3 linked regions of the Xenopus tropicalis genome follow. The protein of the gene in region 3 purifies or fractionates together with the protein of the main gene of each other region. This does not show direct contact. Links are inferred from orthologs where the notes say so. Each region holds a gene or a part of one and is shown on either strand. Other genes may lie near its edges.

Region 1 (3,520 bases), on a different chromosome or scaffold from region 3:
ATGTTCGTTTTCCAATCGGAATTTTTCCAATTCGGATTCGAATTCGTGTCTTAGTAAATCAGCCCCTAAATCTGCACTTAGGATACCTGAGAAAGGCAAGCCAAATTTTGTAACTTTTTTCCCTGGGCTGGTGCATTTTTTTTTTTTTTAATTTACTAGGCATTGGCCAGTAGATTAAGTATAGCAATTTGATTACCTGGAATCAATTATCAATTACTAGTGTTCATGCATACAGTATATTAGCGTCCGGTAAATTCATGCTATCGTGCCTTTAGGACTTCTAATACTTCTTTCAAAAAAGGTATTATTTCTTATGCATATTCATGGCTTCACTGCCCCAGACTTCCCTAGGGGAAGAACAAAATCTGTTTATTAGGTTACTGTACCTCCATTATCCGTTCATCAGCCCGTAATCTTGCTTTTCTTTCGTCATTTAAATTTTTTTGACATATCTGCAATTCAACCTGCCAATATTAAGTATGTAAGTTTGGCACCTTGGTCAGGACATTTCCTAGTCCTCTAGCTGTGCCGGCTCAGCAAAGGCACTGCCCCAGAAAGTAAATCATTAACACTAACATCAGATGTCTTTTAGGGATCCATTATATAGAGCAAAAAATAAATAAATCAAAAACAAATTATAAAACATGTGTGTCCCCTGTGACTATGGGCACAAAGACAATCAACCCAGTTTATTATTGTACTATATAATATTGATATACAAGGCACAGCATTTCTGTGGTGAATGTTCTTTACTGGCACACAGTGAGGTTGCAGTCACTAGGATCGGATCCTATGAATCCATTTCACTCTGCTTTAGCAGAAAAGTTTAATGCCAAGTTATAAATAATTATTTTCATCCATATAATTTCCCTGAAATTACCATTAAACAGTGTGGACAGGCCATTTTATAACTTGAGAGCTGAAGCCGTCAAATTGCGTGTCCTGGCACAGGTAAAATATTATATACAACTGCAGATAGTGCTTCTGACAGTTTGTTAAAAAGGAATAGTCTTTTCTATGCCTTCTGTGTAAAGAAGACAACATGAAAATAAAACTGCTTTTTAAAATGAAAAGTAAAAAATTTAACTTTTTAAATGTCATGCATTAACCAACATTTATGTACTCTATGAAAATAAATACATTCATACAGACTTATTTATAATCATGTAGCCTACCATAACATACATCATGAAAATACATTTATGTAACTGGCCTCATTAGCTGCTTGGTACCTGGAGACATTTGTAATTTTTTACACTCGTTTTTTCACCAGATCCAGGCACGGCATATTCTTGATCAAGGATACTCAAAATATTGTCAGATTTTTCACTTTCTGAAGAGGTTTCACTATCCATAATCACTTTCACTGCAGTATCTGCCTAAGTACAGAAGTTGAATGATTAAACACATTTAAATAGAAAAAAACAGAAATAACTGCATGTACATTAAACATAAAACATTACATTAAACATGTGAATTGGCATTTGCTACAAAAGGTTTAAATCAAGTTGAATTCTATATGGCTTTACGTTCAACACATCTAAAGGATAAAACCTATTATACAAAAAATACTGATGCCATGAAGAAAATATGGATTTTCCCAATTCACTGTTTAATCCTTTTTTTGTGTAGTCACCAAGGTGACCCTAGAAATGTATGGAGCAGGACACAGCTAACTTCCTATTAGGCCCAAACATGGTCAGTCAAGTAACAAGGGGTTTTCCCTTGATGACTAAAAAGAAGAAGGATTTAAATGGGAATAGATTCAAATTGTATTTTCTCTGTTATTCTGTGGAAAAATTGGAAAATCACCATATCTATTCACAACAGGTAGGAACACAAGCCATAATATTATTATCACGTATTTATAAAGCACCAACATATTCTGCAGTGGTCTACAATAAATGGGTATATGCAATGAACAAATCTATTGCTCTCTGAGGCTACAATTTTATTTTTATTATTACTTTTTATTCCTTATCTTTCTATTTAGTCCCTCTTCAATTCATATTCCATTCACACCACTGCCTGGTTGCTAAGGTAAGCAAGGCCCTAACAACCAGCTGCTAAAATTCTAAACTGGAGAGCTGCTAAATAAAAAGCAAAATAACTGAAAAACTACAAAAAAAATAAAAAATGAAAACCAATTGCAAATTGTCCCAAAATATCAATGTCTACATAATACTAAAAGTTAATTTCAAGTGAACAACTCCTTTAAACCCTAAAAGAGAGAAGCTTGCAGACTTTTAGAATAGCCAGGATCCCGATCTATTCCTTTGTGAGCCCAGACAGCTTTATTCACAAATATGGTCTATAAATGATTATTATTTTAATGTTATTTTTTTACTGGCACTTTAATTACTCACATATAAAAAATGCTTAAATAAGCAATTATTGTATCTTAAGAGGACAAAGTCAAAGAATGCTGAAATAAAATCAGGGTAAAGGTAAGTTTCTGCTGACAGGACATTTAAGTTTGGTAGCAGAAGCATAGCTTTTGTAAGTTTGTCTACGTAATGTCAGTATTTATTTGTCCTTTTAACGCACAGTGAAAATTATTTCAGTAAAAAGTATGCAGCTTTCCATTTGTTGCCATTTTTTTATGAACATTAGCAGCAACATGTATGTATGTGTGCAGTCCTGCACCACAACATTCTCACCCTCTCAGTCAGTACAATGTCACACTTTCATAGTGACCCATTCAAAAGAAAAGAATCTTATTAATCCAAAGCATCCTGAGTAAACTGTTTGCACCACACAGTTCAGTGTTATGGGAATTCTATAACATACAAGGTTAATGCCAAAAACACAAAGGAAAAACCTTGCAGGAGAATATCATAATAGTTTAAAATGGCAATACTTTTCACTTTAAGAATTGTCTCTACAGACCAGGACTACCCTCTAGTGGCATAAAACGAGTGATGACTTGATTTCATGTTAAGCTATTAAGATAATGCACCACCTAATTTCGCTTTGGTTATACAATTTAGCTCTATTCAACATTTATGAAAATCTAGAATTTGCCCATAATATAATATTGATTTGATTTTTTTCTATACTATAGATCACCTCTTCTGCTTTCATATATATCTGCAGACAACTCATGGATTGTCATGAATTTATTAAAAATTTATTAAACCTTGCCCACTTTGCTTTTTATAACACCAAATTCTTGATGTTCCTCAGATATTATCAAAGAGTTTGCATGTTCACCCTTTGTCTGCATTTGTTTCCTTCAGGTACTTTGGTTTCCTCCCACACTCCAAACACATACAGGCAGGTTAACTCCTGATAAGACTGACCATAGTGTGTGTGAATGTGACCTAGATTTTAAGAGTCACCTAGGCAAGTAATGTATAGGATGTATAGGATGAACGATCCCTATAAAGTGGAATGTGAAATATGATGGCAGTAGGTAATAACTTTAGGCACATGCTAAAAAATATTTTATTTTGCAATACCCAAAAAAACTTAACACAATATAAACTTTCTGAGCAGTTTTGCAATTTAATTTTCTATT
Region 2 (3,520 bases), on a different chromosome or scaffold from region 3:
ATGAATGGGCCCCTAAATAAATATAGGAAGAGTGATAGAACAGAACATACCTTGACACAAGGCAGAATCTGTGTCATTATTACATTCTCGCGGCAGTCGGCAGACAGGTTCTCACAGAATTCTAAAATAGGGCATAAGCAGAAGATATAAGTAAAAAAATAAATGTCTTCCTCCATTTCAAGGTCTTGTCTTTGATTAAAAGATCAGTCCAAAAAATCCAGACCTGTGAAAGTTCTAGAGCACCATAGTGACAATGTGGGCTAATAACTGCAACAGATTCGTTTCTATGGATTCCCATGCTACTCTGATATATAATGCAATTTCCACAAGGCCATTCAGGCCAAATTTTTCATTGATTTTTTTTTCGTTCCTTATCAGATGGGACACACTCTAAAACTATAAGTGACCTCTGAGATAGTATTAGGAATGTGTCACAAATTATAGTTTATACTGAAGGAACAGGATTGGGAATTTAGAAAGATTGTAAGGACAACTAGTTTGACAGCAAGGAGCAAATTAGCTGCATGGGAGGTGCAGTCATGTTGTACAGGGAAACTCATTTGTACTCCAGGGATTCCATTTCCACTTTCCTTTTCAGTTATAAATAACAAAGCTGCTGAATGCCAACGCTAACTGCACAGTCAGTAACATTTGCCACGTGATTAGTGAGTCACATGAATGACATTCAGGATGTTCCTATTTTAACACTCGGTTACCACAATCCCCCATATATTTGCCAGTTTGAATACCTTTGATATAGCAAGTTGCAATAATACATATTACAACCAGGCCTGTATTTAGTTCAGGCAATGCCCTTAGCACTGGGCCCCCTGCCCATCCTGATCCATGAATGCACAGGACAGTCTATGTATATACATTGAAAGAGAGTGGATGGGGGGGGGTGTTTGTAGCATTTTTTTTTTCTATATAGGCTGCCCCCTAGGTTGACTATATATACACATATGGTCCTGACTAGAATACTTGATTTCTAACCTTTAACTTTATGGGAAGCAGCAGCTCGTACTTCGGCTTCACAGTCTTTCATCAGGTTTTGGAAAGCAGGAACCAAGTCTGTTTTGGTGATTTCTGGACCAACAGCTTTCTGAAGCTAAAAGACAAACAGAAATATTAGCACTGGAGGCACTATGAACTTATGAAGTTTGACAGACTTTATTATTATTATTATTATTAACATTTATTTATAAAGCGCCAACATATTCCGCAGCGCTGTACAATAAGTGGGTTCCATACATTGGACATACAGAGTAACATATAAAGCAATCAATAACCGATACAGGAGGTGAAGAGAGCCCTGCCCAAAAGAGCTTACAATCTACAAACTCACAAGATAGATCCACTTGACAAGGGACCTGATCCAAATACAGGGTAAAAACACATTCATTTAAAATACCTGTTTCTCAGGGAAATAAAAACACTTGTCCGAGACAACTTTAACAAAGGCGTTAGATACAATTCATATATTTCTGAAGATAAAACTGCAAGCTCACAGAATATTCCTTGGATGGAACAATCCATTTACAGCACATTTGCCATAGATGACGTTGGCCTAATTCTGGGTGTTGAATATTCTAAATTGGAAATGACAGACATCTGGGCAAAAATTGTAGTGTCTTTAATATATTTAGCTTTTCTAGGAAGAGGCTTCTAAATTAGTCCTACATGTATCCCACAGGGATACATTTTGGCAAAGTGCACTTGATTATACATATACATAAATCTGCCTTCTGTAAATCAATAGTTTTTGGGGCAGCTCAGAGGAAGAATACAAAGAACCTTTAAGAAAACATTTATAAGGGCAACTGGTACAGGTGTAGTTACCACAATGATGTGGCAGCTTGTAAGTATCACAATACATGCACTGCAGATTGAAAGGTTGGAGACCCCTGATTTAGATGAATGAGTGCCTGAACAAACCAAACCCAAATTCTAACTATTGTGAATATTTAAAAAAGCATCACAATGCCAGACCAAAGGTTGACAAATTTTTGTCCACAAATGTCACCCTCCATAATTTAGCCAATTTACGTATGTGAATTTTGATTCAGTTCGGGATTTAGCCATAGCTTTCGTGGCAGATTTAGGGCATCCCTAGGCAAGAGTTAAAGGTAGAGAAAAGCGTAAACTACTGTTCTCTGCTTTATGCAGTGGTAAATTTCACATTAGGATCCCAACAGCAGCCAGTCCACTGCCACTTCCTACTAAGTCTAGGCTCAAAACAGCTACAGTGAAACACCTAAAGTAGATCTAATTCTTTGTAAACATTAACATAAATTTAAGGATAAAAAACCCCAGCCAAATTCTTTTTGTAATTTTAATCAAGGTTTTACCTCTGTGAACTTGTCTGCCACCATGTATCTTACTCTCCAAGATTTATCTTCAGCTGCCTGGCGCAGTGTGGGCATAACCAGTGGTTCCAGCTCTTCTTGGGGTAGAAGCTGAGCAATGTTTACACAAGCCTCGACTGCCAACAAGCGCACTGAATCCTGGGAAAAGCCAGAATTACAAACAACAAAAAAAATCAGAAACAAGCATAAACAACGGTTTAAATATCGGAGTATAGTAGTACAGTATTGGTACTAAGTTAGAAAGTGTGTGTATGAAAGTATAATTTAAATTTGTAAGTAATTTGTATCATAAACTATGATTGAACATTTATAGTGACACCTTGTGGCAAAATAGGGTATCAACTTCTGGACTGAAAAGCACTTACAGTTCAATAATTCATTAACGATACCATTTGGTTCCAATTTACCATTATTAGGGGAAAGCACTTAAGTATGTAATATATGTGAAGTTTCACAGAAAGGGTCCCAGAAACTTTGGGCACAGATGCTGTACAATAGTACATAAATTACAATTTTCACACGAGGGTGCTAATCCATAATATTTTATAGACAGATATAGACATACATGCAGACACACATTTATTTAAATATATATTTCCATGGCTACAATCAATCAGTTAATAGATTAAAATAACCTTACAAAAGTAATGTACAGTATATGTAAACGATCACAAATAAATAAAATAAATAAATAATGCTTCTGCCCGTGTCTAAAGTTGCAAACTGTTTTCAGTCTTTAGATATTTTGAAGTCGATTGTTAGAACCTCACCTGCAATAAAAGCTTTCAGTTTGCTTAATGGCGGCATGTATATTATATATATATATATACACACATATACATGTTCTAATTCAGGACATTCTCGTAGAATATATGTGGCAAGACCTGCAATCAGTTTACCTGCTCATCAGATGCTAGGTTGGAAAACATGGGAATTATTTCACTCTTCACATTTTCCAACTCCAAAACTTTAGCAAACTCCCCCAACTTGGAAGCAGCGGCTCTTCTCACCATGGGAGTATCGTCTGAGCACAAGTTTCGGAAGTGCCTATAGAGAAAAAGAATGTGCGCATTTTTTATATAATGAAAATGTGCTGTTTTATTGCAACGTTTAATAAAACTGTTTTCATTAAAAGGACTGAAGAGATTATAGTA
Region 3 (3,520 bases):
GCGCAAAATCTGGCGATTTTTTTCATAGCGTTAAAACTTAAAAGGCACAACGTTTTGCGCAAGTTTTAACTCTACGAAAAAATCGCGACTTTTTTCGCGCAAATCGTATTGGTAACGAAAAAGTCGCAATAATTTCCGAAAAAAATCGCAAAATACCGATCATTACGAAAAAAACGCAATCGGACGCATTCGGCCCGTTCGTGGGTTAGTAAATGTGCCCCTTAGGGTAGGAGAATTATGAAAAGACCCCTTATCCGGAAAACCCCAGGTCCCAAGCATTCTGGATAAAGGGCCCCATATCTGTATAACTTTTCCAAAGCAGATACATTTACAGGCCAGGTCTAAAATATTTTTCCTTTTTAAATATTGGAAGTGCATTGGCTTTCTTCCAATCCACTGATACTATACTAGATGAATGAGCGTTTGAGCAAATCATGAAAACAAAAATGGCTGCCAAAAGTAACAAAACGCTTTATGTAGTCAAGGGTATATTGCATCAGGACCGGACCCTTGTTAATGTTGATAAAACAAACACCATATACTTAATCATCCATTAGTAACTTGTTTGCTTACTAAGAAACTTTGTTAGCAAAAGTTACTTACTTCTCCCCCACTTATAATCTTGTCTTTTTGATGGCATCGTCTGACAAGCTCAAGTGCCAGTGGACCACTTTTCACACCTTCAGATTCAACAATCCCAAGCTCCTTTGCTAAATGATTACGATCGTCATATCCATTTTCCTAAAAAATACAAAGTAGAAGTAGTCACCCTCCTTAAGATGATCCCTTCAGGATTACTATAACATTTTAATTTATATATAAGAAAAACAAATGATAGCTGCCTGCATATTCAGTTATTCCTTGGGGCTTTTCCATTGGTGTGTAGAGTATTAGGTCAATGTGAAATTTCTGACAGGACTTGACACAGAGTAACTGGGGGGGGGGGGGGGGTTAGAAGTCTGCACTGGGTTGTGTGTGTGCCTGGCAACAACTACATTGTCTATGCATTTTCTAGGCACTGCCTGAATTAGTTAACTCCAGAGACGCCGATTCTTAGTTGAGCCAAAAAAAATAGATAAATTAACTGGGGGGTTGGGGGGGGTTGTGGTTGGGGGGGGCACCAATATTTATTATTTATTTTTTATTTATATACCGTCAAATACCGTGATACCGATATAATTTTGAAAAATACCGTGATATAAATTTTTGGTCATACCGCCCAGCTCTATATTGCAGTAACACATGTTTTGCTATACACATGTTTATTCCCTTTGTGTGTATTGGTACAGAACAAAAAAGGGAGGAAAAAAGCAAATTGGACATAATGTCACACAAAACTCCAAAAATGGGCTGGACAAAATTATTGGCACCCTTTAAAATTGTGGATAAACAAGATTGTTTCAAACATGTGATACTCCTTTACACTCTCCTGGGGCAAGTAACAGGTGTGGGCAATATAAAAATCACCCCTGAAAGCAGATAAAAAGGAGAGAAGTTCACTTAGTCTTTGCATTGTGTGTCTGTGCGTGCCACACTAAGCATGGACAACAGAAAGAGGAGAAGAGAACTGTCTGAGGACTTGAGAACGAAAATTGTGGAAAAATATCAACAATCTCAAGGTTACAAGTCCATCTCCAGAGATGTAGATTTGCCTTTGTCTACAGTGCGCAACATTATCAAGAAGTTTGCAATCCATGGCACTGTAGCTAATCTTCCTGGGCGTGGACGGAAGAGAAAAATTGATGAAAGGTTGCAAGGCAGGATAGTCCGGATGGTGGATAAGCAGCCCCAAACAAGTTCCAAAGAAATTCAAGCTGTCCTGCAGGCTCAGGGAGCATCAGTGTCAGAGCGAACTATCTGTCGACATTTAAATGAAATGAAACACTATGGCAGAAGACCCAGGAGGACCCCACTGTTGACACAGACATAAAAAAGCAAGACTACAGCTTGCCAAAATGTACTTGAGTAAGTCACAATCCTTCTGGGAAAACGTCTTGTGGACAAAGCACATCATTCTACTGTTTTCCCGAAAATGGAATGAGGCCTACAAAGAGAAAAACACAGTACCTACAGTGAAATATGGTGGAGGTTCAATGATGTTTTGGGGTTGTTTTGCTGCCTCTGGCACTGGGTGCCTTGAATGTGTGCAAGGCATCATGAAATCTGAGGATTACCAAAGGATTTTGGGTCGCACTGTAGAGCCCAGTGTCAGAAAGCTGGGTTTGCGTCCGAGATCTTTGGTCTTCCAGCAGGAAAATGACCCCAAACATATGTCATAAAGCACCCAGAAATGCATGGCAACAAAGCGCTGGAGAGTTCTGAAGTGGCCAGCAATGAGTCCAGATCTAAATCCCATTGAACATCTGTGGAGAGATCTAAAATTGCTGTTGGGAAATGGCGCCCTTCCAATAAGAGAGACCTGGAGCAGTTTGCAAAGGAAGAGTGGTCCAAAATTCCCGGTGAGAGGTGTAAGAAGCTTATTGATGGTTATAGGAAGCGACTGATTTCAGTTATTTTTTCCAAAGGGTGTGCAACCAAATATTAAGTTAAGGGTGCCACTAATTTTGCCCAGACCATTTTTGGAGTTTTGTGTGACATTATGTCCAATTTGCTTTTTTCCCTCCCTTTTTTGTTCTGTTCCAATACACACAAAGGGAATAAACATGTGTATAGCAAATCATGTGTTACGGCAATACTTTTCTGTGAGAAATACTTGATTTTCTGGAAAGATTTCTGGGGTGCCAACAATTTTGACCATGACTGTATAAACACATTTACTTTCCTAAATAGAATAAAAAATATTGCACACAGTTAGGACCTTTTCTCTGATAGCCAGTTCAGGTCATTGCTGAATGGGAGTGGCAACACCTTGCTGTTACGTATGTCACAAAACCAGTGGCAATGTCCAGCCCTCCCCTGTGCTGAATGCAAAGCATCCTCCCAACAGCTGCATGCAGTGTAACTTCCTTCTAACTAAGGCTATGCACAAGCCCATTGATCTTATTGGTAATCAGGTCTGTGCACTATCCATGATACAACACAGGCTGTACCAAAATAAGCACACTACACTATTTATAAAAGCAGAGGTAGTAACGGAAACATTGGGCTACCTTGGCAACCAACAAAATATATTCTTTAAAGTCATGTTGAGTGCTAAGTGCCTCAGCTTGCCTGGGCATTTGAAGCAAAATTAATAGAAACACAGCTCCGCACTCAACAGGGAATTTTAAGATTTATATATAGTATGTGTATTTATTATAAACAGAACCCATATCTATATAACTATATCCATAATATGTTAAGTTAATCATGCAATTATGCCTTAAATTACCATGGATCACAGAATCTACACTTTTTGGATAAAAGTACAATTGGCATTGGGACTTTTAAGCTTTAAAATGCCAGCAGAATTTTGCCTTTTATTTGCACTCAGTGACCGATGTTTTTGAACATTTGGGGCCGTCTCAGTTTAAGGGCATATTCCCAGGGGAAACTTTTAGTTTACCTAGAAAAACATTTA

Evidence for each region.
Region 1: the proteins of fgfr1op (region 3) and cep78 purify together in Homo sapiens (affinity purification with mass spectrometry; 3 studies listed by BioGRID and IntAct, with this or other methods). This does not show direct contact. The link is inferred for Xenopus tropicalis from reciprocal best matches to the Homo sapiens genes CEP43 and CEP78.
Region 2: the proteins of fgfr1op (region 3) and ppp2r1a purify together in Homo sapiens (affinity purification with mass spectrometry; 5 studies listed by BioGRID and IntAct, with this or other methods). This does not show direct contact. The link is inferred for Xenopus tropicalis from reciprocal best matches to the Homo sapiens genes CEP43 and PPP2R1A.

What each region holds. Positions count from the first base shown.
Region 1 is NC_030677.2:132,571,622-132,575,141, reverse strand, and holds part of cep78 (centrosomal protein of 78 kDa), read right to left. Parts: intron 1,380-3,520; coding exon 1,233-1,379; intron 465-1,232; coding exon 387-464; intron 1-386. UniProt on the Homo sapiens protein: Centriole wall protein that localizes to mature centrioles and regulates centriole and cilia biogenesis. Involved in centrosome duplication: required for efficient PLK4 centrosomal localization and PLK4-induced overduplication of centrioles.
Region 2 is NC_030683.2:120,827,988-120,831,507, forward strand, and holds part of ppp2r1a (serine/threonine-protein phosphatase 2A 65 kDa regulatory subunit A alpha isoform), read right to left. Parts: intron 3,414-3,520; coding exon 3,266-3,413; intron 2,505-3,265; coding exon 2,349-2,504; intron 1,109-2,348; coding exon 994-1,108; intron 122-993; coding exon 51-121; intron 1-50. UniProt on the Homo sapiens protein: The PR65 subunit of protein phosphatase 2A serves as a scaffolding molecule to coordinate the assembly of the catalytic subunit and a variable regulatory B subunit.
Region 3 is NC_030681.2:56,955,811-56,959,330, forward strand, and holds part of fgfr1op (FGFR1 oncogene partner), read right to left. Parts: intron 742-3,520; coding exon 604-741; intron 1-603. UniProt on the Homo sapiens protein: Required for anchoring microtubules to the centrosomes. Required for ciliation.